Linked DNA regions of Ovis aries. The protein of the gene in region 1 binds, or shares a complex with, the protein of each later gene. Links are inferred from orthologs where the notes say so. Each region holds a gene or a part of one and is shown on either strand. Other genes may lie near its edges.

Evidence for each region. The genes of interacting proteins can lie anywhere in the genome.
Region 2: MED24 (region 1) and MED8 share a complex: the UniProt entries of both Homo sapiens proteins name them as parts of the mediator complex. The link is inferred for Ovis aries from reciprocal best matches to the Homo sapiens genes MED24 and MED8.
Region 3: MED24 (region 1) and MED7 share a complex: the UniProt entries of both Homo sapiens proteins name them as parts of the mediator complex. The link is inferred for Ovis aries from reciprocal best matches to the Homo sapiens genes MED24 and MED7.

The regions. Positions count from the first base shown.
Region 1 is NC_056064.1:40,105,536-40,115,681, reverse strand, and holds the start of MED24 (mediator of RNA polymerase II transcription subunit 24), read left to right. Parts: upstream 1-3,746; 5' UTR 3,747-4,093; intron 4,094-5,783; exon of another isoform or gene 5,784-6,076; intron 6,077-6,245; 5' UTR 6,246-6,304; coding exon 6,305-6,434; intron 6,435-6,521; coding exon 6,522-6,604; intron 6,605-8,313; exon of another isoform or gene 8,314-8,341; coding exon of another isoform or gene 8,342-9,205; exon of another isoform or gene 9,206-9,225; intron 9,226-10,146. Other genes in the region: large ribosomal subunit protein eL6-like, read right to left, coding at 8,342-9,205. UniProt on the Homo sapiens protein: Component of the Mediator complex, a coactivator involved in the regulated transcription of nearly all RNA polymerase II-dependent genes.
Region 2 is NC_056054.1:18,063,303-18,073,273, forward strand, and holds MED8 (mediator of RNA polymerase II transcription subunit 8), read right to left. Parts: upstream 6,653-9,971; 5' UTR 6,631-6,652; coding exon 6,625-6,630; exon of another isoform or gene 5,536-6,624; intron 5,290-5,535; coding exon 5,171-5,289; intron 4,165-5,170; coding exon 4,020-4,164; intron 3,611-4,019; coding exon 3,470-3,610; intron 3,276-3,469; coding exon 3,194-3,275; intron 2,826-3,193; coding exon 2,577-2,825; intron 1,850-2,576; coding exon 1,785-1,849; 3' UTR 1,465-1,784; downstream 1-1,464. Other genes in the region: KICSTOR complex protein SZT2, read left to right, coding at 6,809-6,835. UniProt on the Homo sapiens protein: Component of the Mediator complex, a coactivator involved in the regulated transcription of nearly all RNA polymerase II-dependent genes.
Region 3 is NC_056058.1:66,396,895-66,406,812, reverse strand, and holds the start of MED7 (mediator of RNA polymerase II transcription subunit 7), read left to right. Parts: upstream 1-3,266; 5' UTR 3,267-3,319; intron 3,320-3,710; 5' UTR 3,711-3,756; intron 3,757-9,918. UniProt on the Homo sapiens protein: Component of the Mediator complex, a coactivator involved in the regulated transcription of nearly all RNA polymerase II-dependent genes.

The DNA.
Region 1 (10,146 bases):
GTGTTCCTTCCTTGTCACGAAATCCTTATCCAGGCTGCTCCTCCCATCCCTGCCACCTCTTCAGGGCTGAGTCCAAGGGGAGAGCAGAAGGGTGGGGCTCAAGTGAGGAGGGATAGAGACCCTGCAGGGATATGTCTGACAGCCCCCTCCCTCTTAGACTTTGGTTACCAAGGAGGCAGCAAGAACAGCCTGTTCTCTGGGCTCCCATCGGAACAGCTATGCCCAGGCCTCTCCCTCTCTTTCTTCCATTCCTTCTCTCCCTCTCAGACTGTTGCTAGGAAGCACCCCAGGACTGATCAAGGGTCTCACCCCTAGAAACCTGGGGATCCAGATAGCTTTCTAAAGAGCTTCTCTCAAATCCTGGAAGCCAAGGCCCCACTCAGCATTCTCCACTCCCACCAAGAATCTACAAACAGTTTGGAGGAACAGGGACAAGGCCTCCGTCATCCTGCCCTGGAATGAACGAGCCCTTCAGTGGCCTGGGCCTAAGTAATTCCCCTTCCTGTCTCCCTTTGACCTCCTGGGCCCTGGGTGATGTCAGCAAGTGACAAGGTGTCTAAGAGACACCCCCTGACTCTGCAGATACAGCCCCACTTATTGGAGAGTTCTGGAAAGAAGAAACTGCTGCTGCTACTGCTGCTGCTAAGTCGATTCAGTTGTGTCCGACTCTGTGTGACCCCATAGATGGCAGCCCACCAGGCTCCCCCGTCCCTGGGATTCTCCAGGCAAGAACACTGGAGTGGGTTGCCATTTCCTTCTCCAATGCATGAAGGTGAAAAGAGAAAGTGGTCACTCAGTTGTGTCTGACTCTTAGCGACCCCATGGACTGCAGCCTACCAGGCTCCTCCTCCCATGGGATTTTGAGGTATCACCAACTAAGAGAACATAAAACCTAAGTATTTCTCTCTCTTACTGATTTTTTAATCAAGAAAAGATAGTGGAAAAGGAGGAGACAAAAGGAGGTCAGTTTATGCAATTTGGGGATCAGCAGCTGGCAGAGATGAGAGACTGAGAAATTAGCAAACAGTTGCCCAACTAAGAGTAAAGTGACCACTTATTGCTCCCTATCAATCACCTTTGTCCCATCAGATGCCCTGTTTATGGGTCACAAAAAAGAGAGCCAGGGAAGGGACTCAGGCCTGGCTGAGCCTTGCTTTGGTATCTGAGGGTAAAAGTAGAAAAAGAAGCTGACACCTTCTCCAGGTTGTCTTTCAGAGCTTATTCTAATTTTGTTCAAACCTTTAATACATCTCAAGTATCAGATCCCCTAAATGTTTCCAGCTTCTGGTCTCAGAAGGTTCCCACCTGGAACCCCTTCATCCTGCTTTGCCAGGAGAAGAGGTGGGGGGCAGTCTCCTTTACCTGCCACACCACAGCCCTCCCCCTCCAGTTAAAGGAGAGATGGCACAGGCAGCTGTGGAGGTCAAGAGGACAGAGTGGCTCTCAGAGCCAGAAGGGAGGAGCAGTGGCCTGTCCAGGGTTCAGGATCACGGCACTCTCTTCTCCTCCTTGCTGGAAGGTGTGGAGAGAGAAGGCATCCTTCAGATGTTAGAGAAGAAACCACTCTGAGGTTCAGAGCGGTTCAGTGGTTCAAAGGTTCAGATTCTGCCTTTCACTGTCCTGGCTGGCCTCTTTCTGGACCTCTCCTGGGGCCAGTGGGAAGACAGAGGCAGAACTGGGGGGGATCCAGGAACTGTCCCTAAGGGGGGACCACCTTGCAGTCTTCTCCATCCTCCCCTTTCCCAGATAGACAGCGAGTGGAGAGCTTAATGTGGGGACGGGTAAGGGGAGGGAACTGGTTTGGAGCCAGCTGTGTACAGAGTGTGGAGTGTGTGGGAATGACTTGCTTTCTTTCCCATCCACCTGCTGCCAATTAACTCCCCATAGTGGGGGGACCCAGGCAAGCTTCCAAAGGAAAATGTTCTTCCCTATAGACAGAAGGGATGATGACACCCTTTGTGCCTTGAGTGCTTACCAAGTATTTCAGAGTTTCTTGGTTTAGACTTGCCATTTTTCCCTACACTTCTTTCCAGCCTAGATGAGGAGTGTTCCCATCTCCTTGGGTACCCAAACCCTGATTCCTCATAGCATTTTACCCCACCGCAAGTCCCCACTCCAACCTGGTTCCTTTTCAGCTACTCCTTCAGTGTTGCCGTGTCACTCTGCCTGGCTGGCTTTTTTGGTTTGTTTGTTTTTATTCATTTTTAATTTGAGGGCGCTGGGTCTTAGTTTCAGCACATGGGATCTTTACTTGCAGCGTGTGGGATCTTTAGCTGAGGCATGCAAACTCTTAGTTGTGGCATGTGGGATCTAGTTTCCTGATTAGGGGTGAAACCCAGGCTCCCTGCATTGGGAGCACAGAGTCTTAGCCACTGGACCACCAGGGAAGTTCTACCTGGCTGGCTGGCTTTTACTTGCCCCTCTTCTCCAGCCAGTCCCCTTCCCCAGCCAGCAAAATGAAGCGCTTGGACCTTGGGGCTAAGAGGGTGGAAGTGAGAGCTCAGCTTCTATCGGTGCTGAGAGAGAAGAAACAGACAGCCCAGGAAAGTGGAGTAAAGAAGAGGGATATTTGAGAGGGACTGTGTGTGGGGAGGGTTTCCTTCTACTCCCAAAGAGGATATTGGCATCTCTTCTCTCACCCACTGGAGGATTATCATGGAATGCCGGTCTTGTGGAGGGCAAGTCAGAGAGCCTGCAGGGCCCTAGAAGCTCTTCTGGTTTCGGGGAAAGAGGTGGGGTATGGAAAGGCAGTCTCTGAAGCTGACACACTAGAGAGGACAAAGTAGAAAAACTGCAAATAGCCCTTACCCAGAACTAAGGGAATCCTTTTAGTGAATTATTTGGCAGTCCAGTGGTTAGGACTTCATGGTTTCATTGCTGAGGGCCCAGGTTCAATCCCTGGTCAAGGAATTAAGATCTCGCAAGCTGTACGGCACAGCCGAAATTAAATAAATAAATAAATAAATAAGGGTGTCCTTTTAAATTCTTAGAAGTCCAGTCCTTGGGGAAACCCTGCCAAACCAAGAGAAAGAGCTGCTGGTGAGAGGTGGGGGACAGGGAAGGCAGATGCTCTCATGACAAAAGCTGCCTCTCTGCCACTGTAAAGTGGGGGAGAAGGCACCCCTCCCCAGAGGTCTGCTAGCTTCCTGCCAGAAGGGCATGGTCTGAGTTCAGAATGCCACTCTTCTCAGGGCCCAAACATTCTCCACTCCCATGTGGACCAAGTCAGGAGCAGTCACAAGGTTGACAGCTTTTTTCTAAGAGGACAGTTTGGGTTCTGTGGGATGGGAGTGGAGCTGCAGGATGCATGAATGTGTCAAGGTGGGAAGCCCTGAGCTGCAGTGACAGCAAAAGAATAAGAGGAGGGAGGCGGGCGAAGGTAGAGTTGGGGGCCTGGGAGAAGCAGGGAAGCCAGGTACATGAGAGACTGCTGAGAAACAGGGTCTGTAGCCGGCTTCGATGTGTGTGGCTGAGGGGAGTTTGGAGGTCAAGTGTGAGAAGTCTAGGTTCTCCCTCCTTCCTGCTTTGGAAGCTTTGGCTACACATATTTGGCAGCTGTTTTGTATAAACATTATTCCCCAGCGGTGTCGCTTGGGCAGGCACTAAAGGGAGCAGAATGGAGGGGGCTGTGGGTGGGTTATGGGGAAGGAGGAAGCTGAAGGCAGTCATGACCTTAGAGGGATGTGATCTGGGTCTCCTCCAGCTGCACTCTCCTCTTCAGAACAGGAGTTCTGGTCTCCCTGTTTAGACTATGCTCCAGACACCCAGGATTCTGTCATTCTTTGCCCGGAGAGCTGCAGGTTTGCTTCCAGAGTCTGAGGGGGACTGTTCTTCCAGATTCATCCCTCTGAGAACTGAGTCTGACACTTAAAGGGTGACCAAAGAATGGGGATTGGGAAATATCGATGGAGCTTGGATTCATGGATGGGGATCTGAGGCTCCTTGTGGTATGGGCTGAAAATAGGGCTGGCAGGACACTGCCTTGTTCCAGTTGTAAATGTAGTTCTGGTTGTAAATGTTAGTGGCGATCTGTCCACAGGGCAGGACAGGGATGAGGGCTGTGTGTGGAGAGGCTCAGCTGTTGGAGTCAGAGGTGGGTAGCATTTACTTTTGGCTTCTAACTGGGGAAGGGGGGTTGGAAAAAGGCTAATACTGCAAACACTGGACATAATTATCTATAATGTGGTTCCATAGGTTAGAGCAAGACATCATGTTTTTAAAGTAATTAATTTATGTTTGGCTGTGCTGGATCTTGGTTTCTGAGCATAGGCGTTTTCTAGTTCAGGTGAGTGGGGGGTTACTCTCTAGTTGTGGTCTGTGGGCTTCTCACTTCGGTGTCTTCTCTTATTGCAGAGTGTGGGCTCTGGGGCCTGTGGGCTTCAGTGATCGTGGCCCTTGGTCTCTAGAGCCTGGGCTCAGCATTTGTGACCCATGGGCTTAGTTGCTCCTCGGCAGGTGGAATCTTCCCAGATCAGGGCTAAAACCATGTCCTCGCATTGGCAGGCAGAGTCTTAACCACTGGACCACCAGGGAAGTCTAATTATACTGCTTTTTTTTTTTTAAATTTTATTATTTTTTTTTATTTTAAAATCTTTAATTCTTACATGCTTTCCCAAACATGAACCCCCTCCCACCTCCCTCCCCATAACATCTCTCTGGGTCATCCCCATGCACCAGTCCCAAGCATGCTGTATCCTGCGTCAGACATAGACTGGCGATTCAATTCTTACATGATAGTATACATGTTAGAGTGCCATTCTGCCAAATCATCCCACCCTCTCCCTCTCCCTCTGAGTCCAAAAGTCCGTTATACACATCTGTGTCTTTTTTCCTGTCTTGCATACAGGGTCGTCATTGCCATAATCATACTGCTTTTAAGAAACATTTTTTAAAAAAGAATTTTAGTTTTAGATTTATAGGAAAAAATTAAAGATAGAGAGGTTTCCTATATACCTCACTTTCAATCCCTACCCCTTTAACCTCTTACTTAGTATGGTAGGTGTTACAATTAATGACTGACATTGATACAGTATTATTAACTGACATTGATACAGTATTATTAGCTGAAGTCCATGCTTTATTCAGATTGTTTAGTTTTCATCTAAGGTTCTTCTGTTTAAGGATCACATCCAGGATAGCAAGTTACATTTAGTCATCATGTCTCCTTAGGCCCTCTTGATTGTGACAGGTTCCTAGACTTTTCTTATCTTCGATTTCCTAAAGCTGTTTCCTCCTTGCTTCTCCCTTAGTAAAGCAGTTGGCTGGGCCAGGAGATTCTGAGAGAACATTTTAGGGTTAAGGGGTGGGTAAGGTGTGTTCAGCTGATAGAGACTCAGTGTTGCTTTGGAACATAGTTGCGGAAAGGAGAACAACTCTGGGAAATCCGGGGGTTTCGGAGGGGAAAAAAAGCCAGGAAAGAGAAAACCTATGGATGAACTCATGCCACACCCGTGTTGAGCCTACTAACTAGCGGGCAATGAAAGGGTGTCAGAATTTGATTTAAATGCTCGGTCGACAATGATGTCACTGGAAGAAACTTAATTGCCGTACGCCTTTTGAGAGCCTTTCTCCCTAAGCTTCCTGAGTCTTCGAGATCCTCAGCTCCTACTCAGCTTTCCCTCAAGGAGAGAAACAATGCCGACTGACTAGCTTCTCGTAGCTTCCGCGCTAGCTGAGTCCAAGGAACTGCAATTCCCAGAAGACATAGTGGTGTGACCGGTGTCTCGCTGCCTTCCTATTGGCTCATGTTTGTTACTGTCAGCCAATAGAAAGCTAGCTCTTTCATAAGTGCCAAAATGGCGACACCTAGAATCTAGAACTAGATTGTCCGGTAGGCTTAAATTTGGGGAGGTGATGGATGGGAAGGAAATAGGGAATTATAGTTTCAGGGTTGGGGAGGGTGGAGGAAGTAGGGGGAGAAATCTGGATTTGGGGTAGTAATGGCCGAGGGACGCAGCCAGAGCTAAGGGCATATTTAGGCAACCGGAACTGGCTTAACCCCTTACTGCCCATTTATTCTTTGTATTAAGCCCCTTTGACACTCTCTTCTTACTGCTCTTGTTTAAAGAATGTTCAGGTGGGAATAACCTAATAGGATCCCTGTTTTGCCCCTTTCCCCTTTTTTTTCCTTTGTAGTTCTACTTCCCTTGAATCTTCCTATATCGACTCCATTCCATCTAAGTCTGCGCTCCACCCCCATCTCCCCGCTGGGTTCTTTCCTTCAGAATCCCTTTCCCTTTCTCTAGCTTGATTTCTCCAACCTCAAGGCTGACTGCTACCGGCCCGGTCTCCTCAGAGTGAAATCATGAAGGTGGTGAACCTGAAGCAAGCCATTTTGCAAGCTTGGAAGGAGCGATGGAGTGACTACCAGTGGGCAGTCAACATGAAGAAATTCTTTCCCAAAGGAGCCACCTGGGACATTCTCAACCTAGCAGGTCTTAAGTGAAGTAGGAAGGAAGGATGGGAGGGCTAAACCCAGAAATGTTGTACCACTGAGTCTTCCTTTGTTATTCTCCTTGCAGAAGCGCTACTGGAGCAGGCCATGATTGGACCTTCCCCCAATCCTCTCATCCTGTCTTACCTGAAGTATGCCATTAGTTCCCAGGTAAACTCTTCTACCTATTCCAGACAGGGTTTGAAGGTGAAAGGCTTGGAATATAGTTGTCAGCTCAGATTTTCTAGGTGAATTTGTTTGAGCACATCGTTTCTCTGAGCCTCAGTTTTCTTGTGAAAATAATAATACTCCATTGGTTATGATGAATATTACATTAATTTACTCTATCAATAAATATTCACATATGCCCTGGGGATTTAGCTGTGAACAAGGTCTAGTCCCAGTGCACAGGTATTTCGTGAGTAATATAGGCATGTGAATAAGCAGTCAATCACAGGATAGGATTACGATATAGGACAGAGTACTATGGGAGTACATGGGAGGGATACCTAATCCCAGGTTGAGCAACCAGGGAGGAAGTGATGTTTAAACCAAGACTTGAGTGTTGAATGGGAATTAGCCAAGGAGATTGATGAGAGTGTACAAAGCAGAGAGAAAAGAATATGCAATGGTTGGGAGACAAACATCACATGATATTTAGGAATTGAAAATAACGTGATATGGCTAGAGTACGGTAGGGCTTCCCTGGTGGCTCAGTGGTAAATAATCTGCCTGCCAAAGCAAGAGACACCGGTTCGATCCCTGGGTCAGGAAGATCCTCTGGAGAGGGAAATGGCAACCCACTCCAACATTGTTGCCTGGGAAATCCCATGGACAGAGGAGCCTGGCGGGCTACAGTCTATGGGGTCCTGAAAGAGTTGGAACACCACTTAGCAACTAAACAATAACAATGGCTAGAGTAGCAGTTTTGGCCTTAGAACATTTTATGCTCTTAAAAATTGAGACTCCTGCAGAGCTTTTGTTTATATGTATTATATCTATTCATATTTACCACTTTAGAAATTAAAAAAATACTTATGTATTTAAAAGTAACAAAAAGTAAACCCATTGTATATTAACATACATAACGTTTTAATGAAAAAGTAACCATATTTTCCAAAACAAAAATGAGTGAGGAAAGTGGTATTGTTTTACAGATCTCTTTAATTCTGGCTTAATAGATTACAGCTGAATTCTCATAGCTGCTTCTGCATTCAGTTGTTGCAGTAGGCTCTTTCAGCTGAATAAAATCTGGCCTTGCACATCAGATATTTAGCTTGAAAAAGGAAGAATATTTTAATAAGCCTTTCAGATAAATGTGGATATTTTGAAAGGTTTATTAAAATATTTTTCCCTTTTAATTAACCTTGAGTTTTAGTAACTGTATACCTATGTCGCTAACATCCAAAATAAGATAAACCATTTCCATTCTCCCAGAAAGTTTCCTTGTGCCCTTTCTAGTCCATCTTCCTGTAACCACTAAATGTTTTCTATTCAGTTCAGTTTAGTTCATTCACTCAGTCGTGTCTGACTCTTTGCGACCCCATGGACTGCAGCACACCAGGCCCCCCTGTCCGTCATCAACTCCCCAAATTTACTCAAACTCATGTGCATTGAGTTGGTGATGCCATCCAACCATCTCATCCTCTGTCGTCCCCTTCTTCTCTCACCTTCAGTCTTTCCCAGCATCAGGGTCTTTTCAGATGAGTCAGTTCTTCGCATCAGGTGGCCAAAGTATTGGAGTTTCAGCTTCAGCACCTTTTTCTATACCCATAGATTAATATTGCCTGTATTTGGATTTCATAGAAATGAACTCGTGTTTAGTATTAACTCTTAATGCTCTGTCCTCTTTTAATTTTTTTTTTTTTTGAAATGACAAGTTATTTAATTAGGTTCTTTGCAAGAAGTTCAGAATACTACTTTGTGAGGATAAATTCCATTTGTGAGAGCAAACACAGAGCGGAGGTAGCCCTGGAGCTGAGGGACAGCTTTGATTCTTTGCAGAATTTGCGAGTCCACAGCTTTCTGGTCAACCTTGCGCTGCTCTGTGATCTCGTATTTCTCTCTCTCTGTGTCGAAGACCTCACCCTCCTGGTGTCTGGGTTTACGCAGCTTCTTCTTCTTGAAGTAAGTGTCAGTGAGATATTCCGGAATTTTCACACCACTGATATCGATTTTGGTGGAGGTGGCAATGACAAATTTCTGGTGTGTTCTACGCAGAGGAACTCGATTGAGGGATAGAGGCCCAGTCACAAGTAGCAAGCCACTGCCCAGCTGCTTCAGGAAAACGACCCTCTTGCCTCTGTGGCACCCAGTGAGGATGATCAGAATGGTCCCAGGAGTGATGCTGGCACGCAGCTTCCTCACATGCTTACTGAAGGGTTTTCTGCCATGACTCAACAGTTTCCGAGGCACATCTTCCGTAGGGTAATACCTAGGCATTTTGCGAAGTTTGACCACTCGCGTACCACCATTCTTGTCGCCACCAACTGGTTTTGTGACAGTAGCAAGAGCACGAACCTTCTTTTTCTTTTCGACCTTGGATTTAGGTGCTGAATATTTTCTCTTGTACAAGGCCTTTCTGGAGTACATGGCTGATCGGGAATATCTGCCAATTCCTCTGACCAGGACAGGATTTCGGCTGCAGTGGGGCTTCCCCTTCTTAACCTTCTTCACCTTTTCCACCTTTTTAGCCTTCTTGCCAGCATCAGCCTTCTTGGCTTCAGGTTTTTTCTCCTTAGTATCTGGCTTCTCAGCCTTTTCACCCGCCATCTTACAAGATGGGAAAGAGCTCTGTCTTCTTTTAATATAAATGTTGTTGAGCTTTATGTTATTGTATATGTCAGTAGTTCATCCTTTTTTAAACTTGCTGAGTAGTATTCCTCATCTGGCACGTAGTTCTTATGCTTCCTGTTTCCCCTTGGCATCAAGTCTCATTTCCATGTTAGCACATATTCATCTACTGTGTGTTTTTTTGGCTGCACTGGGTCTTCACTGTGGCACACTGACGTTCTCTAGTTTTGGCTCTCAGGCTTCTCTAGTTGCAGAGCACAGGCTCTCGAGCACTGTGACTCAGTAGTTGCAGGCTCTCTAGTTGTGGTTCCCAGGCTTAGTTGCCCCTTGGCATGTAGGATCTTAGTTCCCCAGCCAGGGATCAAACCTGTGTCTCCTTCACTGGAAGGCAGACTCTTGACCACTGGACCACCAGGGAAGTCCCTACCTTGTTCTTTTTAACTGCTGTGTACTGTTCCATATATACTTAATTTCAGTTCGGTCGCTCAGTCGTGTCTGACTCTTTGCGACCCTGTGAATCGCAGCACGCCAGGCCTCCCTGTCCATTACCAACTCCCGGAGTTCACTCAGACTCATGTCCATTGAGTCAGTGATGCCATCCAGCCATCTCATCCTCTGTCGTCCCCTTCTCCTCCTGCCCCCAATCCCTCCCAGCATCAGGGTCTTTTCCAAGGAGTCAACTCTTCGGATGAGGTTTCCAAAGTATTGGAGTTTCAGCTCTAGCATCAGTCCTTCCAATGAACACCCTGGACTGATCTCCTTTAGGATGGACTGGTTGGATCTCCTTGCAGTCCAACGGACTTTCAAGAGTCTTCTCCAACACCAAAGTTCAAAAGCATCAATTCTTCGGCGCTCAGCTTTCTTTACAGGCCAACTCTCACATCCATACATGACTACTGGAAAACCATAGCCTTGACTAG
Region 2 (9,971 bases), on another chromosome or scaffold:
ACACTGCCTCCGAGCTGACGGCAGGGCTCTTCGTGCTCTGTGTACTGTGATCAGTGAGCTGCATGGATACATTTCTGGTCGTGATGGAACTCGAATGGATGTGACATCTGTGACTACTTTTCCAGTCCTTTGCTGCCACAGCCTGGCAGAGTCCTGCCTGGCACTGAACAAATACCAAAGTGCTAATATGTGACAGAAGAGAACAGAGCAAAGGCAGCTGGGAGGAATCAGCAGCCCCTCTTATTACCTCTCAGGACTTTTAGATCAAACCTACAGATAAGACAAAAAAAAAAAAAACAACCTAAGAAAACTTTTTATTGGAGAAGAAAAAAGGATTGCCTTGGGACTTGGTGGTCCAGTGGTTAAGACTTTGGGCTCCCATTGTAAGGGGCCTGGGTTTGATCCCTGGCTGGGGAACTAGATCCGATATGCTGCAATTAAGAGTTCACCTGTTGCAACCAAAAATCCTGCATGCTGCAACTAAGACCCAGCACAGCCAAATAAATAAAATTTTTTAAAATACTGCCTTGCAACAACCTTGAAAGTCTCTGACGTGTAGTCTCCAATCCCCACACAGCTCTCTCAATTTACCTGCTGTCAGATAACCCTGACACAGTGGTCATCAACTTAAATAACTTTATTCAGAGCAATCCTTTGGTCCACTTCTGCTGACTCAACTCCTGCCCTTGCTTGCAAAGGAGAGCCAAGAAAGGCAGCTTAAGCTGGTGACCCAAGCCCACTCTCCTCTCCAGCTTTATAGAAGCAGGCAAAAGTGCTGGCGGCTGCCACCTCCCACCATCCACTTGACCCTTATTGGAACCACTGGCTCAGTGGACTGGAGAAAAGCCATGCTAACTGAGCCCAGGAACCAGGCATACTTTGAGGATGACTCAACCACAATGAGAGACGGTGTGAGGTGCAAGTCCCCTTTCCCTCCAAAATATGAAAGAAAAAAAAAAAAGGTCTGGAGAACAAGGGACATTTTCACTTGCTCACAAAACCCTTTCTCACGTAGTCCTGCCTGGCAGAGCCACTTCCTGAGGAAGTCCCCACCTACTGGGACTTCAGCATCTTCCCTGACATGCCCAGGGTGGGGTAAAGGATAGGGGACTCTGACTATTTCCCAGATGAGAGCTGAACTGGCTTCTGAGAGGATGGAGAGTAGAGCAGTCCCAAGCTTCTCCAGAGTTGTAAGTGGATGGTCTGTCTCAGCCCGGAGGCCTCGTCACCTGCAGCCTGGAGAGATGGCCAGGCTGGAATGTGGGAAGCAAGGCCTGTGGAGGCAGCGGGCCTCTAAGGACACAGAAGCTGTCACCATCTCTGGCAGCACAAAATAAACACAGGCTTTCAAACAAAGCTGAGCGGTCCACGATCTTGTGTCCATCAGCTCACCACAGACACGAAGCAGTTTCAGATCAGGGCAAGTTCTGGATCGAGGACCGAGGAGGGGGCAGTGGGGAGAAGTGGCTGTAGAAACTCTCATTTATTGAATACTCATTATTTCATAGATTGTGCTAAGTGTTTTACATCATTTTCCCATTTTAATCCTCACAACAACCCTATGAGGTAGGTATTATCATCATTTATAAACCAGAAAACAGGCTCAGAAAAAGTAGGTCACTTGCCCAAGGTCACACAGCTAGTTGGCAGTGGAGATGGGATCTGTCTGTGGCCGAAAGCCTGTGTTCTTTTCATTGTACCCATCCAGGTCAGCTTTGGGCAAAAGGCAGTTTCACTGCCCAACTCTGAAAAGAACACCTGGGAGTGGAGGTTGCCACTCACACTCACCGCTGGTAGGGATGCATGGAAGCCGACTTGATGTTGGTTTTTATCCCACTTGGCATTTTCCCTAAAAAGAACACGAAGAAAGACACCTGAAGCACAGTCAGATGTTCGTCATAAATCAGAAGTGTTGCCTCCCAGGTTCCCTTCTGTCATCTCCTCCATCAGCTCAGAATCTGTGGCATCTGACCTTGGGTGACAAGGCTCAGAGGTACAGCTCCCTGCCCAGCCCTCTACCTGAAGATGGTCAGGAGGAGGAATAGCGGGAAGGGCTGGAGCACATCCCTGCAGGCTCTTGCTCCTCCCCTAATGGAAAAAGAGAGCTGTCCCTTTGCCTAGACAGCTTGGAAGAAAATATTTCTTCTAGCTGCTTATATCCGAACTCCTCCAGACTGTTCTGATAATTACTAAGTGAGCAGAAGAGACAGGATACAGAGCAAGGAATACGCGTAGCACTGGAAAACCTGCCTGCTTGTCAACTCCCAACACATCTACCCAGTGATCCTAATACCTAGGGTGAGACACTGACAACACACCCACCCAGAGTTAAAGGGCACAGAAGGGTAGCTAAGGGCAATTTTAGTCGAAGTTCTTTCTCATTGTCTGGTGTCTATTAACAGAGTCTCAAATGAGACTTTCACTCTCAAGAGTTTTTTTCTGGGTCACAGTCCAAGGAGAAAAGGAGAATGTCTCCAGCCCTGGGGATGGGGTGAGGGGGAAGTGTGGCAGATAACCCAGTTTATTCTCACATCCCTGCTCAAGGTCTGTCACCAAGCCAATCCTTGTCACCTTACCTGGCTGGCCTGCTTGGGCCATCTGCACCCCACTGAGCATTGGCTGCTGCTGATTTGGCGCTCCTGCTATCTGCACCTGCTGTAACCCTGAGGCTCCTGCGAGGACTGTTCCAGCTCCCGGCTGGCCTGGCTGGCTAGGACCACTGCTGCCTGAAGGCCTCCAGTTAGACAGCCCCTTTCCAAAGGCAACAGCTGCCACTAAGGCGTTGGTATCTGCCGGGTTAAAGGTCTGCTTGTTCGGCCGGAGACCTGAAGGGCAAAGTAAGTGGAGACCCTGAGGTATGCCTCTAGCCCTGGACTTCTTCTAGCACCAGGAAGACCAGTATGAGTGCCAGGGCTTGGAGTTCTGACTTCGGTAGCATCCAGACTTCCTGGCAACCCAGAGGAAGAGCCAGAGGACCCCCATGACTATCTCAGAATTCGCCCTTCTCCCTTTGCTCCTTTCTCCACCTGCCCCAGTGCTGGCCTGAAATATAGAAGGCCAACAGAATAGATGCATACCCTTGGCTAAACAGCACATCCCTGCATCCTCATTTCACCACTACCAATACCACCCTTCCTATTCCAGTGATCTTATCCCTCATTCCCCCATCACTTTGCCACCAATCCCTCCATACCTCCACTCTCTGATTCTCGTTCCTCTTTGCTGATTTTCTCCAGGAGGTTTGAGCACATTTTGTTCAAGCTCTGGATCTGTTTCTGTAACACATGTAAGTTTGTGCAGAATTTAGGGCAAGCAAGAAATGATTACAGGAAAGGTTCTTCCTTGAGCTATTCCAGGGGCAATGGAGGCATAACCAACTGCCATACCCTACAATAGAGAAGTGGGAATACTCAGCCTCTTATGGTAAAACTCGAGGGTGTAGGGCAGCAGGGCAGGGACTCGGTCCAACCTGCGCTGCGTCAGCACCAATGCGAGCAGCATCCGTGGTGAGCTGCTTCTCTTGCTCTTCAACCTCAGGGTCAGGCTTGGTTCTCAGATGGTCAGGGACCACCTCGTGGCTGAAAACAGGTACCCGTCCTTCAGTCTGCCTCTGTAACACACAGATTTTATGATCCTACTGTGCACTCCAAGAAGATTCAATTTTGGCCTGATATACACATAGTTCCTTCCACAGGCAAACAGTGCACTTTCAGGGAAAACATAACCTGAGACTAATAATATCTGGCTTCCTAAGACACTATTCCCCTCATTCCATCCTTCAACTCTATCTACTCACACCCTGTCTCTACCAGATCTAAGGATAAACCCTTCTCTACCACATTTTAATCAAAGATTGAAATAGGACAGAAGGACAAAAAGCAAGGCCTCCAAAATGTAGCCCCCACTTATTGCCACACACTACTGCATATTCAAAATTTCTAGATAGAAACCAACCACTGTGCTGTCAGTCCTCATTTAAGGGCTTTGTTTCCTAAGCTGCATCCCTCTCCTCCTCTTACCATGAGATCTTCATCTCGGTCTGGGGACAACACCAGAGGGATGATGACCTGGTTGCGGAACAGTGGTGTCTTTTCATGCTTCAAGACCTTGTTCAGAGTGTTCAGCTGTCCAGAAAGCAAGGCAAAGCTGTCCAGGACAGATGGCCTGGTGGTGGTAAGAAGATGTCAGCATGTTCCTGGTAAAGGAGCCTCAAAGGGGTCCCTCGGACTAGGAATAACCAGACTCACCCCCAAAACACTCATAGCCCTATGCTGGCCTGGGCAGGAACTAGACTGGCTCGCAGGGATTATGGGGTTAAGAAAGAGGGATACACTTTGAGTTTCTGACACAGATGGAGAAAAAAAACAGGTCATTATAGCAATCCCCACTTATCCTAAGTTTCACTTTCTGAGGTTTCGTCTACCCGTGTCAACCACAGTCCAAAAATATTAAATGATAAATCCAGGAAATAAACAATCCATGTTTTTAAATTGGGAGGTGTTCTGAGGAGTGTGATGAAATCTTGCTTCATCCCACTCTGTCCTACCCAGGATGTTGATCACCCCTTTGTCCAGCATATCCATACCGTATACGGTACCCACACAAGTAGTATAGAAAAAAAAAAACAACAACCCACAGTATATACAGAATAGGATTCAGTACTATCATAGTTTCGGGAATCCACAGTGGGTCTTAGAACTTACCCCTGATAGATCACGAGGAGCTACTACATTTGAATGGGGTGAGGACAATGGCAAAATAGGAACGATGGCTACACTATTATCACTAGAACTTCAGAAACCGGGTGAAAGATCCCTTTCCAGATCCAAACTTTCCTAGATTGGACCTAAAAGACTTGGCAAAACCCGTGCAAGAAATCCAGTATGAATACTGTGGTGGGAGGACCCACTGCAGGAGGACCTCATCCTGGAGAAGTCAAACAGGGAGAATCAAAAGCTAGAAAGAACCTGGGTTGAGAAATTGGGCATTTCTCTACTACCCTTAAAGTTGAGGTCCAAGGCCAACTTCAGTGTTAAATGTTGGGAAAGCCAGCTCTTTCTAAATCAAAAGATGTTCACAAAGTGATAAATGCTGGAGGAGGTACCCTGTGCAGCAGGTGGCCTAGCCCCCACCCATAGAGCCCTCCCCAGCTTGCCCTGGCAACTCTTACCAGGTCAGCCGGTCATACTCGTTCTCCAGCTTGTAAATGAAACTCCCCAGTGAGTTCTTCAGATCAGCCACTTGACTCAGCAGTGCATCTAATGATGCCTCAAGCTGTTTTTCCTCCCTCTGAGCCAATAGGAATAGGTTGGTTACTCAGCTGAGTGTAAGGATGACACATATAGAGGAAGGCTGAAAAGCCAGGGTGACAGTGTGCAACACCAGGACAGTGACACAGAATCTCATTGGCACAGGGACAGTCAGGCTGTTTCTGTCTCCTGTCAGCCGGGCTCCACCCCTATTTGGAGTTAGGATCACAGACAGCATCAACCCTTAGACCTTAAAACCCATTCATCTGACCTCAATTCCTCTTACCTACTGATTCCTTCCTCTCATCGCTTTTAATCCGGGCGTGACTGTTTCTCTATATTAGGCTTGGTTTGTATCTGTTCTCCCTCACTGGACAATTTTCACCAGACGTAATGCCTGGGATTTATTCTGTTCGGCACACCTCAGCAGCAGACGTACTCTGACGTCCTATGTTCTAGAACCTGCCTTGTGAACCTGGCTGTTCTTGGCAATGACATAATCTCTGAAAACCTACCTATACAGGAAGGCTCCTCTGAATACTGCCACCGTCACCTTCCTCTTCCCTCAGCATTTGCTGTTTCAACCTCCTCCTTGCTAAATCAATCTGCACTCACTTTATTGCTGTGCCAATATTCCTGTGCCCCTTTCGCAAGCTTAGTCAACCTATAAAAATGTACTGACAACTACCCTTCTGCAACAAACAGTGACAAATGAAAAACAAAACAAAACAGCAACCAAACCGCACATGCCCCTAAGCACTAGGCAAACTATATTAAAAGCTGAGGGGTCTCCAGTTTTATCTCATTTCACCCTTTAACTACTAGGGGTACACACTAGGAAGAATGAAACAGAACTGCAAAACCCCGAATGTGGAGGACACGAGCCGGGTTCCACCCACGGCCTCAGATTATTTAGTCTGGCTTCTGGCCACCACGGTCCCACAATTCCTTCCACCCTCGGGCTTCTCTCCAGTTAGATCCTCTGTTCTGTCAACATCCAACGTCTAGGCCGGGGCCTGAGCCCGAGCCCAATCCACCTCTTTCTTCAGCCGTCTTCCTTGGACTGCACCTTCCCAAATTTCAACTTGATCCTTTTCCACACCCTATCAACAACTTGATCCTTTTTCCACACCCTAGCAAGACAGTGCTGCCTTCTCCGTCCCAACCTAACCGCAGTTTCTGTCTCCTGTCAGCCGGGCTCCACCCCTATCCCTCTCCAGAGGTCCTCGTCCCCATCGCGCGTCCCTTTATCTCACAGTCGCGGTCTCGACCAAGTCCTCTCATCCCTAACTCCTCACTCTCTCCTCGGCCAGCCCACTTTCTGTCTCGTTACCCCAAGCTAGCTACCCGTCGCTAGCGCCAAACCGGTCCTCACCTGCATTGCTGCGGCGGGGGGCGGTGTCAATCACTTCCTCTTCCGGTTCCCAAGTAGGCCAATTAGAAAGCTCAGAACTCGACCCTCCCACTCACTTCCGGCCCCGCCAGTCGCGAGACCTCCGGGTCAGGGGTCAGGAGCGGAGCATCTTCTCTGGCCCGGGCCGGCGCGGGAGGGCTGTGTGATGGCCTCGGAGCGCCCGGAGCCGGAGGTGAGGGGCGGGCGGGCGCAGCGCTGGGCCTGTAGATCCGAGGGGGAGGGTCCGGCGGCCAGGCGCGGCCGTGGCCTCCTCCGGGTCTGGGGGCCGCCTGGCCCTCCTGAAGGCCCAATAGTAGCATCTCCTCACCCCTACTTTCCTCGGGGAGGCCTAGAGGAGGAATTCGTGGCTCAGTTTTGTTTGCCGAAATTTAATCCACGATTCTCTACTCTAGGGCTCTTGGGTTCTTTGACCTCGTAATGGCATTCAGAAAATCTGTATTTTGATCTTCTGTTGCAGTTTCAGTGGGCAGGTTTGCCGGTTGCTGCCTCATTCAAATATTATTGGAATGCCATAAACAGCATAAATTAATTAGGTTCTAGCGCTCATGCAATTGGAGAGCAGCTTAGATTTCATGAAAAAACGTTGGATTCAGAGTGAAACCTCGTTCTGGTATTGGCGCTGCCCTGTAGCTATCTGTGCAACTTTGGGCAAATCTTGACTTCCCGGATCCTGTTTCCTTCTTTGTAAAATATCTATCTTCAGGTCTATTGTGAGGATCACACGTTTTAAATGGGAAAATGCAAATGAAGCATCCATTAAGTACGAAGGACCATGCAAGGAACTTTTGTATACATTGTGTGGTTCAGACTTGTGCAAGGAAGGTGACAATACCCATTTCCATATACAGACAAACTAAAAATCGAGGGAAGTGAAGTACCTTACCCAAGTGCTACTCTCAGCTGGGGAGTGGCAGAGTTTTGTAATTAGAAGTCTAAAATGTCAGATTTGGAAAGAAAACATCACTAGGAGAGTTGCCCAATGTTACAGGAGAACATGTGAGTGGATGGGAAGGGTGAGAGGTGTATAATCATGTATTGAATCCTTACCTATCGAATGCTTACTGTGTCCCAGAGACCATCTTAGCGCTTTACCAATGTCAAAGATTACTCTCAACCCTACACAGTAGACACTTATCCCCATTTTTCAGTTGAGGAAACTGAGGCACAGAGGTTTTAAGAGTAACAAAGTTGCACAGCTAGTAAGTGGCAGAGCCAGGACTCCAAAACAGGTGGTCCCTTGTGATCTTGTGTTCTTAGCCATAATGTTTACAGTGCAAAGAGAAAGTAGCCACAGGATGGTAAATCTCCAGTGCTAGGATTTGATGTAATGAGATCCAAGATTAAATACAACTGTAGGAAACTACCCTATTAAAAAGGATCAAATGTGCTCACAGGGCTGGTGGAGTAGCCTAGGCATCAGAAATACCATTACTGAGGAATACTCAAGGAATTTGGAGCATGTTTTGTGGATTAAAATGAGAAGACATGGAGGGATGTTGTGAAATACAACAAACCTTTCATGCAGATGGTCTAAAACAGCATTATCTAATAGAAACCCAATGCAGGCCATATATGCCAGTTTTTTAGAAGCCGCTTAAAGAGGTTAAAAAAAATAGGTAAAATTAATTTATAATATATTTTATTTAACCCCATATTTCCAAAATAGTGCCATTTCAACATGTAATGAATATTAAAAATTATGAGATATTTAACGTTCTTCTTTTGTACCAAGTCTTTAAAATCCAGAGTGTATTTTACTCTTAAGCATATGTCACTTTGGGCTAGCAATATCTCAAGTGCTCAGTAGCCACAGATAGTAATGGCTACCATACTGAGCAATGCAAATCTAAAATAACTTGAATCAACACACGTTCCTGGCAGTCTCACTCAACCACAAGTTCATTTGTTAAATTCTTGATTTGCATTTCTGCACATCTTACCCCAGAAGGTAAAGGGAGTGAAGAGTTAAAGTGACTGACTGTTAGAGGTTATTATAATCCCAATAGAGAAAGTTTGGGCCTAGTCAGATTTAAGAAGTCATCGTTCCTCAGATACTTAAATGATGTGTGCTGTTATGGACTTGGAATTGTGCTAAGTATCAGGGTGGATAGGGAGCAGTGTAAGACACTCCCTATTTTAATGGGGTGAACAAACATTGGATTATAATAAGTGCCTCAGAGGAAAAGTACAGAGCGAGTGAGTGTTTAACAAGGGTTCTTAACCTAATTGTTAAGTGAAGTGGGTGGATCCTAAAGCCTTCTCAGAGGAATGACATTTAAGCATGGAGGAGTGGAGGGTGGCAGTGAGGAGAGGCAGAATACATTGCAGGCAAAGGAAAATTGACAATCTGAGGGGAAGGAGGAGGAGAAGGCAATGGCAACGCACTCCAGTACTCTTGCCTAGAGAATCCCATGGACGGAGGAGCCTGGTAGGCTGCAGTCCATGGGATTGCGAAGAGTCAGACACAACTGAGCGACTTCACTTTGACTTTTCACTTTCATGCATCATTGGAGAAGGAAATGGCAACCCTCCAGTGTTCTTGCCTGGAGAATCCCAGGGACGGAGGAGCCTGGTGGGCTGCCGTCTATGGGGTCACGTAGAGTCGGACACGACTAAAGCGACTTAGCAGCAGCAGCAGAGGAGGAGGTGTGAGCCTTCAGAGAACTTAGAGGAAGCAGCTGCTCATGTGGGCTCAGTGACACTGAGAATAGCTAACACAAGTGTTTCCTGAGTCATCATCTACTACTTGGGAAATCCTTGTGAAATCGGCACAGTTATTATCCCTCTTTCACAGGTGAGGAAACTCAGGCACAGAGAGTTTAACTTCACCAAGGCCTTATTCTAATAAGCAGTGGAACCAGTGTGTGATCTCAAACTCAGGGGGAGGTGGGTGAGAGAGAAGACTGGTGAAGAAGATTCAGGTTGAAGCCATGCTTGAAGTTCAGGACTTTGGCATATGTACAGTGGTTCAAGGGCAGGTGAAAACTCTTGTGGAACGCTGTTAACAGAAAACAGCACAGGGTTGGAAAAGGCTTCAAGAATAATTTGTACCTTAACCGCCAAGGGACAGGGGCAACAAACAAAAAAACAAATCAATGAGATGGACTTTGCTCCCTTCATCCTGGCGTGCATAGTGTGCAGCACATGCCTCATGTCTTATTCAGCTTGCTATGGATGGTATGTAGGCCTCAGTGAATGTTCCAAAGAATGATAGGCTTTCTCTATCATTGTCTGATTCTCCGGGTTAATTGCCACAACATCCTTCTGAAGTAAACATTCTTATTCACATGTTACAGATGAAACTGAGG
Region 3 (9,918 bases), on another chromosome or scaffold:
AGTCCATGGAGTCACAAGGAGTCAGACATGACTGAGCAACTGAAGAACAAACAACCTTAAAAAAATTGACAGGGTGTAGAAAGAGGGTGACTATTTCTGCTTGCCACTTAGGGTAAAATTATAAAAATGATATTCTTTACAATGTGCCACACTCCTAAAAACAGCCAAGATGCTAGTTACCATGGACTCCTGCCCGTAACTGCCCCTTCATCTCCTCCCACTCTCCTTTTGCTCTTAGTTGTGAAACACATGGGTTCCCTTCCTGTCTAACTCAGAGGATCACAGCAGCCTCAGACTCTTCACACTTGCTGTCTACAAGATATTTGCACAGTTGACTCCTTCTCATCACTCGTCTTAGCTCCAAAGTACCTCTTAGCAGAGGCTACCCCAATCACCTTCTAGAAAGTAGCTACCCATCCACCTACATAGCTATCACTTTATTTTGTATTATTTTTCTCTCCATAGCAACTTATCACTACTAGAATTATTATTTTTTTCTTGTATGCTGCTGTTTGTATCTCTCTATGAGAAGGCAAAGCTTTTGTTTGTCATTTTTACCATCCAGAACAGTGCTTGGCATAATAGATGCAATAAAGACTTACTCAACAGGTGTAGCCCTTATTGGGCTTCCCTGGTAGCTCAGATGGAAAGAATCTGCCTGCAATGCAGGAGACCCCAGTTCAATTCCTAGGTCAGGAAGATCTTCTGGAGAAGGGACAGGCTACCTACCACAGTATTCTTGGGCTTCCCTGGTGGCTCAGCTGGTAAAGAATTTGCCTGCAATGTGGATGACCTAGGTTTGATCCTTGGGTTGGCTACCCAACTCCAATATTCTGGCCTGGAGAATTCCGTAGATTGTATAGTCCATGGGGTTGCAAAGAGTCAGATACAAATGAGCGACTTTCACAGCCCTTGTTAAGCTAGAAAAGGCACCTTTAAGAGAGAAATTTTCCATTCAGATTCCAGGTGTAGCCACATAAGCGAATGTCTATTATACACCATATTTTCACTAGTTCCTCTCATGATGTGAATTTTACACCATTATTCATTTGTAGCTTATTGTAAAGAACACTAGACTAACAGTCAAGAGTCCCAGATTCTAGCCTTGATCCTCCCTTTAACTGTAAGACACTGAACTTTTGGGTCCAAAATTTCATTTCTAGAAATTTATCTCAAGGAAAACATTGAACAGGTACACAAACATATACATGTGCACCAAGAACTAGGGTACTCATCCAGTATATTCACAATAGTAAGAGTTGGAAGGAAGATAATTTCACATAACAGGCTTTGGCTATATAGACCCTGGTTTATCCATTGATGTCACACTGTGAATTCATTTGAAAATGATTATATTCATTTTGTTACTTATTCAGTGGACGTTCATTGAGTACTGGCCAATTCCAGGTATTGTTCCAGGTACTGATGCAGAAGTGAATGAACCGAAGACCCTATGATGATGAATCTTTTATTTTGATGGGGAAAAAAAGACAATGAATGTAAACAAATCATATACTACATAATATGATATCAGATGGTAACACATTCTATGAAGGACAGATAATACATAGTAAGGAAATTAGGGACATTCCCCAAGAAAATGATTGGGGCATGCCACTTTTGAGTATCCAGGAAAGACCAATCCGACAAGGTCACATTTGACCAGAAACCTGTATGAAGTGAGGAGGTGAGGCATGTGAATATCTGTGGAAAGAGAGTCCTAGGCAAATGCAATGGCCTTTAGGCAGAAGTAGACTTGAAAATTTCAGGGGAAAAAAAGAAACCTTGTATGTGGAGAAGATTGAGCATAGAAAAAAATGGTAGGAAGTATTATTGGGGAAGTAGCCAAGGACTAGATTTTTGTAGCATTTCCTATAGGCCATGGTAAGGACATTAGATTTTATTATGAATGTGAAGCCTTGGAGAACTTTAAGAGTGGCCAGATCAGTCATATTTTAAGACAGTATGATAAAATAGGCTTTGTTGTTGTTGCAGTTCAGTCGCTAAGTCATGTCCAACTCTTAAATAGGCTAAGGAAGGACAAAAGTGGAAGCAAGGAAACTATTGACATTTAGGGGGTTATTTCAGAAGTCAGGGGAAGATTATGGTGGCATGGATGAGGATGGAGGCAGTGCGGATGGTGAAAATTAATATTTTGAACTTTTACTTATTTCCACATAGAACTAATACAAAAGACTGATACCTTAATTTTGAATAGAGTATGGGAGAAAGAGGAGTGAAGATGAACTGTTATGTTGGAGACTTTGCAGTCGAATAAAGATGTGTAATACTGTTGGTTAAGAGGGTCTGAGTGCAAGGGACAGGGTGTTGCCAGGATCTAGATACCACTTGAGTATTATCACCTGGATGACATTAAGAGGAGAACTCAGTCCGGGGGCAATTCAAATGATCAAGTGTGCCAAATGCTGCTGAAAGTAGACCAAGATGAGGACTAAAGAATGCCCACTGGAGGTCACAATTTATGTAACATTGGTCTCAATGGAGAAAAGCCTGACTGGGGTATGCTCAAAAGTGAACAAACTTCTTCAACAAATAAATTGATTGTGGGTGGGGGAGAATGAGGTAGAGGAAAGAAACTACAGATTAAAAGATGATTAATAGATACATCCAGTATCAGACTGATACAGACAGTCACAAAGGGGTGGACTTTACTGGATCCTCAGATAATTGGTATCCAAATACTGACTTGATTTTCACAATATTAAATAGCTGTCGTGTCTGACTCTTTGCGACCCCATGGACTGCAACACGCCAGACCTTCCTGTCCTTCACCAACTCCAGGAGCTTGCTCAAACTCATGTCCTTTGAGTCGGTGATGTCATGCAACCATCTCCTCCTCTGTTACCCTCTTCTCCTGCCTTCAATCTTTCCCAGTATCAGGCTCTTTTCCAATGAGTCAGTTCTTCACATCAGGTGGAAAAAGTATTGGAGCTCCAGCTTCAGCATTGGTCCTTCCAGCGAATATTCAGGAAAATAGAAAAAGAAAGCAAAGAATAGCTACTTTTAATAGTAACACATTCTTCGCGACCCCAAACCCTGTGGCTGCTGCAGAATCACGGAAGGGTGGGAGGTGCCAGAGGGAAGGTAGGAGGAAAGGGGTGGCTGGGGAGAGGGAGTATGCGCCCGCGAAACGGTGAGCCAACCGTCACAGAGGCGGGACTAGAGCCTCGGTTAAAGGACAGCTCTTTCCAGCCAATCAAAGGACAGTATCAGTGGCTTCTTCCTGGAAGTGGAGGCCGGAAGTTGGATTTCGGCTTGAGGTGGAGAAGGCGGCTGCTAGTGTAAGCCCAGAGCTGAAGTAAGTGGGCGGCGACGGCTTGGGCCTCAGTTCCTCGTACATTTCTTTTTCCGGACCCCGCTGCTTCCTTTGGGAGGGCTGGGAGTCCGGGGAGGCCTGGTGCTGAGTACGTTCGTCCGCCTTCCTCTCCGGCGTTCCTCAGAGAGCGCGACCTTCCCCGCAGCTCGCGAAGCCGGGGTCAGGGGTGGGTGGGGGTAGTTGGCCTCTCGTGGGAAGGTACCCTCTGCGCGGCGGGCTCTAGGCCGCCTCCGGGGGGAGGCCGAGCCCGGCCGGAGGTTGGCACACCTGAGTTCTAGACCCGCTCCGCTGGTTTACCGAGCTGTGTGGCCTCGCCACGTCTTCTGGCCTCTCTCTGGCCTTGTCCCTAACCAGTCTCGCCCTTCTTCCTCAGGGAGCATTCCTGAAATCAAAAGATTTAATGGGAGACGGGGAAGGAGGTAGGTCCCAGGCGTCATTCATTAGATCTTCTGGGGAGGTTTTAAAGCTACATTCCAGCAGCTCCGTTTACAGTAGATAAACGAGTCGAACGTCTGGAGATAAGACCCTACAATACCTTTCTTTTTTGGGTTAAATCCGTCAGAACGGAACAAACACTAGAAGATGATCTTGAGTCTGATAATCAGCTTTGATGCTTGACGCATGTCTTAGGAAAAACCTCCATTGCCTTTGACAAGTTTAGTCTGGAGAAGTGGTATAAACAAACATGATTTCTGTTGTATGTCAGTTTCCATTTGTACTCTAAGATGCTTCATTGTTTACTGATTTAAAGGAGCTTGTGCTGTGCAACCATAACAGGCAAGGTTGAGAGTTCCTGCTATGCCATTTCCTGGCCGTTTGATCTGGTTACAGATACTTCTTGGTGAGACAGACTTGGGACCCTCATCTCTAAAATGAAATTGATAGTAGTAGTAACTCATAGAATTAGTTTGAAGCTTAAGTAAAAGAGAATATAAAACAATGATACCTGTCATTTAGTTGCCCTTTGGGGATTGGCAGTTTAAGTAGAGGATTACACAAGGTTCTGGGAAGCACAAAACAGGAATTCCAATCTGAAAAGGCTTGAAGGGGTGAAACCTAGGCTGTATGAAATTTATTTTGAAGTACCAGATGATTGCTAATTCTCTGATTTTGTTAATTATGTGGTTCTAAGAGGACATTCTTATTTGGGTCTACCCACTGAAGTATTTTAGATAAAGAGATGAGAGACCAATAAGGCAGATGAGGGAAAATGTTAACATTTGAAGAATCTGAAGAATATGGAATATTATTCATAGACTGAAAAGTCTGAATTTTTGAAAGTTTTAAAACATTGGTTATAACTATTTGCAACTATCATAAGTGTGTTGTAAATAAATGAACCAGTACACAGTATTTATAACCCTCCATTCCATGTACTTTCACCCCTTTTTTTCTTAGTGGCCATATTGTGTATATATAGACATTTTATCCAAGGCCTCATATGGGTGAAGGTATGGATGAAGGTATGGGTTATTTCCAGCTTTTCCTGCTCTTTTCAAACAGTGCTGCATTAAATATCCTGATACACAGATTTGTGTACTTCTACCAATATTTTTGTAGGATAAATTTCTAGAAATAGAATTGTTGGGTCACCAGTCAGTCCTAAAGGAAATCAACAATAAATACTCATTGGAAGGACTGATGCTGAAGCTCCAATACTTTGGCTACCTGATGCAAAGAGCTGACTTATTGGAAAAGACCTTGATGTTGGGAAAGATTGAGGGCAAGAGGAGAAGGGGGAGGCAGAAGATGAGATGATTAGATAGCATCACTGATTCAGTGGAAATGAATTTGAGCAAACTCTGGGAGATAGGGACAGGGAGGCCTGAGGTGCTGCAGTTCATGGGGTCGCAAAGAGCTGGACACAACTTAGCAACTGAACAACAGCAACAGTGTTGTTAATCAGCTATACTTCAATATAAAATAATAAAAAGGATTGTTGGGTCAAAGAAATCAGCATTACAGTGTTTGATACTGTCACATTAATTCCAAGTAAGCATATTTGTTTCCTATCAGTTGTGTATGAGAATTCCCCATATTCTCTTGGTGATACTGGCTTGCCACCTTAGAGTGTTATGGTGGCTGTGATGGTGTTTAGTGGGACCTCAGGGCAACGGATGTTTTCCACTGCAGAAGACTTCCCTGCAGGGCCAGATTAGCTAAGAGCTTGCTTGTAAAATTGGCATGACCACTCTGAAGAAGCTGAAAGGTAGAGTGTGATCTGTGCTGGAATCCAGCACCTGCCACATAGAAAGTGTTGTTTGTTAAGTGATGGAGTATTTGAAATCTTGATAGTCTTATATGGATAGGATCCTTTTTTAGAATTTATTTTTAATTGAAGGATAATCGCTTAATTGGCAACTGTGAATCAGCCATAAGTATACATATGTCAACTTTCCCTTGAACCTTCCCCCCGACCCCCACTCCATTTCACACTTGTAGGTTGTCACAGAGTACCAGATTTGAGCTCCCCATGTTATACAGCAACTTCTCATTAGCTATTTTACATATATGTGGGGATTTTTTGCCTTTTTTTTCTTTTTTTAATTGGAAGATAATTGCTTTACAGTATTGTGTTGACTTCTGCCATATATCAGAATCATGAATCATGAATATATCATGAATCAGCCACAGGTATACATAAATCCCCTCCCTCCTGAACTCCCCTCCCATCTCCTACCCCATCCCACCCCTGTAGGTTGTCGCTAGGTTGAGCTCCTTGTGTCACACATCAGATTCTCACTTGCTATCTATATGGTACATTTACATATTATAATGTACATGTTTCCATGCTGTTATCTCAGTTTGTCCCTCCCTGTGCTTCCCCCACTGTGTCCACAAGTCTGATCTCTATACCTGTGTCTCCATTGCTGCCCTGCAAATAGGTTAATCAGTACCATCTTTCTAGATTCCATACGCATGCATTAACATACAATATTTGACTTTCTGACTTCACTGTATAATAGGCTCTGCTGCTGCTGCTGCTAAGTCTCTTCAGTCTGTGGGCTACCCCACAGACGGCAGCCCACCAGGCTCCCCCATCCATGGGATTCTCCAGGCAAGAACACTGGAGTGGCTTGCCATTTCCTTCTCCAATGCATGAAAGGAAAAGTGAGAGTGAAGTCGTTCAGTCATGTCCAACTCTTAGTGACCCCATGGACTGCAGCCTACCAGGTTCCTCCGTCCATGGGATTTTCCAGGCAAGAGTACTGGAGTGGGGTGCCATTGCCTTCTCCAATAATAGGCTCTAGGTTCATCCATCTCATTAGAACTGACTCATACGCGTTCCTTCTTATAGCTGAGTAGTATTCCATTGTGTATATGTGCCACACCTTCCTTATCCAGTCATCTGTCAGTGGACGTCTAGGTTGTTTCAATGTCCTAGCTATTGTAAAAAGGGCTTCAATGAACACTGGGGTACTTGTGTTTCTTTCAATTATGGTTTTCTCAGGATATATGCCCAGTAGTGGGATTGTTGGGTCATATAGCAGTTCTGTTCCTAGTTTTTTTAAGGAATCATGCTGTTCTGTGTAGTGTCTGTATCAGTTTGCATTCCCACCAGCAGTGCAGGAGGGTTCCCTTTTCTTCACAGGCTTTCCAGCATTTATTGTTCATTGATTTTTAAATGATAGCCGTTCTAATTGGTATGAGGTGATACCTCATTATAGTTTTGATTTGCATTTCTAATAATGAGTGATGTTGAGCATCTTTTTATGTGTTTGTTGGCCATCTGTATGTCTTCTTTGGAGAAATACTGTTTAGGTCTTCTGCCCACTCTTTGGGTTATTTGTTTTTCTGGTGTTGAGTTGCATGAGCTGCTTGTATATTTTGGAAATTAATCCTTTGTCAGTTGTTTCATTTGAATTATTTTCTCCCATTCTGAGGGTTGTCTTTTCACCTTGTAAAAATTTTCCTTTGCTATGCAAAAGCTTTTAAGTTTAATTAGGTCCCATTTGTTTACTTCTTTTTATTAAATTTTCATTACTCTAGGAGATGGATCAAAGATGATCTTGCTGTAATTCAAGTCAGTGAGTGTTTTGCTTATGTTTTACTCTAATAGTTTTACAGTTTCTGACTTTATGTGTAGGTCTTTAATCCATCTTGAGTTTATTTTTTTTTTGTATGGTGTTAGGAAGTGTTCTAACTTCATTCTTTTACATGTAGTTTACTGTCTGGTTTCCCCAGCACCATCTATTGAAGAGGCTGTCTTTTCTCTTATGTATTCTTGCCTCCTTTGTCAAAGATAAGGTGCCCAATAGGTGTGAGGATTTTTATCTGAGCTTTTCTTCTTGTTTCTTTCATCTGTATTTCTGTTTTTGTGCCAGTACCATATTGTTGAGTATTATAGCTTTGTGGTATAGTCTGAATTCAGGAGGGTTGATTCTTCTAACTCCATTTTTTTTTCCTCAAGATTGCTCTGGCTATTCAGAGTCTTTTGTGTTTCCATACACAAACTGTAAAATTTTTTGTTCTAGTTCTGTGAAAAATGTTGGTAATTTGATAGGTAGTGTGTTGAATCTGTAGATTGCTTTGGGTAATATAGTCACGTTCACAATATTGATTCTTCCAGTCAAAGAACATGATATATCTCTCCATTTATTTATGTTATCTTTAATTTCTTTCATCATTGTCTTATAGTTTTCATTATACACGTCTTTTACTCTCCTAAGGTAGGTTTATTCCTAGGTATTTTACTCTTTTTGTTGCAATGGTGAATGGAATTGTTTCAAAAAGGATTCTTTTAAAAATTTGCTCTTAGCAGGGTATTATTCTGAATATTTTCTTGCTTTTATTCAGCATTTGCATTTTCTTCATCTTTTGCCTATTTTTCTGTTATTTTTTTTAACATCAGTTCAGTTCAGTTCAGTTGCTCAGTTGTGTCTGACTCTTTGCGACCCCATGAATCACAGCACGCCAGACCTCCCTGTTTATCACCAACTCCCGGAGTTCACTCAGACCCACGTCCATCGAGTCCGTGATGCCATCCAACCATCTCATCCTCAGTCGTCCCCTTCTCCTCCTGCCCCCAATCCCTCCTAGCATCAGTCTTTTCCAGTGAGTCAACTCTTCGCATGAGGTGGCCAAAGTACTGGAGTGTCAGCTTTAGCATCATTCCTTCCAAAGAAATCCTAGGGTTGATCTCCTTCAGAATGGACTGGTTGGATTTCCTTGCAGTCCAAGGGATTCTCAAGAGTCTTCTCCAACACCACGGTTTAAAAGCATCAATTCTTCGGCACTCAGCCTTCTTCACAGTCCAACTCTCACATCCATACATGACTGCAGGAAAAACCATAGCCTTGACTAGACGGACCTTAGTTGGCAAAGTAATGTCTCTGCTTTTGAATATACTATCTAGGTTGGTCATAACTTTTCTTCCAAGGAGTAAGCGTCTTTTAATTTCATGGCTGCAGTCACCATCTGCAGTGATTTTGGAGCCCAAAAAAATAAAGTCTGACACTGTTTCTACTGTTTCCCCATCTATCTGACATGAAGTGATGGGACCAGATGCCATGATCTTCGTTTTCTGAATGTTGAGCTTTAAGCCAACTTTTTCGCTCTCCTTTTCACTTTCATCAAGAGGCTTTTTAGCTCCTCTTCACTTTCTGCCATAAAGGTGGTGTCAGGTTAAAAAAAACTCAGTGGATCCTTATTGAGGATTTAGCTTCTTCTAGCCATTGTTTAAGGTACTAGAGGTAGAGTTGTGAATAAAAGGCAATATGAAGTCAGTGCTTTTCTTCTCATAGGGATGGAATCAGAAAATATGTTTTAAAAAATCATAATTAAATTTCTAGTATTTACCCCTGTTAGCTTGCATGCATTCTTCTTCCAGAAAAATAGGCTTATCTTTTAATTTTGCTTCTGATGTATTTTCCCATATGGAATTTTTAGATTGATTTTTGGTGGTCAGATCTGTGGGTCTTTTGTAGTACCCTTAAAACGTACAGTTATTTTTTGTCCGTTTTCCTTGATAGATTGTAAGGAACACTAAGATGGAGTCAGTGTTTCTTATTTATCTTTGAAAGATAGTATAATGTAGTGTTTGAGATCTTTTGGCTCTGGCTACTTCCTTTACACAAGTTGATCAACCTTTCTGAGCCACAGTGACCTCATCCTTGAAATGGAAAGCTCACCTTTCTTTTCTCAGATTTCTCACAACCGTGAGAGAAGTTTAGAACAGTCCCTGGCAAGTAGTATGCACTCAAGTATTACTTGTCATCATAATCATTATTGTCATATATTAGACAAACATTAAATACTTGCAGCAGGAAATACACATTAAAGATGTTTGTACCTGCTTTCAAATTCCCTTTGACTTGAAGCTTTTGTGTAATGAATGGAGCTACCAACAAATACTTATGAAGCTTATGTGCGTGGTTTTGAACCCAGTGAGAACTGTGATAGTCATAGTCCTTCCCTTCATAGAGTTTATAGTCTGGTTGGGGACACAAATCAGATACTGATGAAGAGAATAAAAGGGGGAAGACAGGTTCTGCTTTTGATGAATAATCAGAGAAGTTATATCTTTAGAAGTGACATTTTTAAGCTAGTGCCTGAAGCAGGAGGAAAATCACATGAAAAGA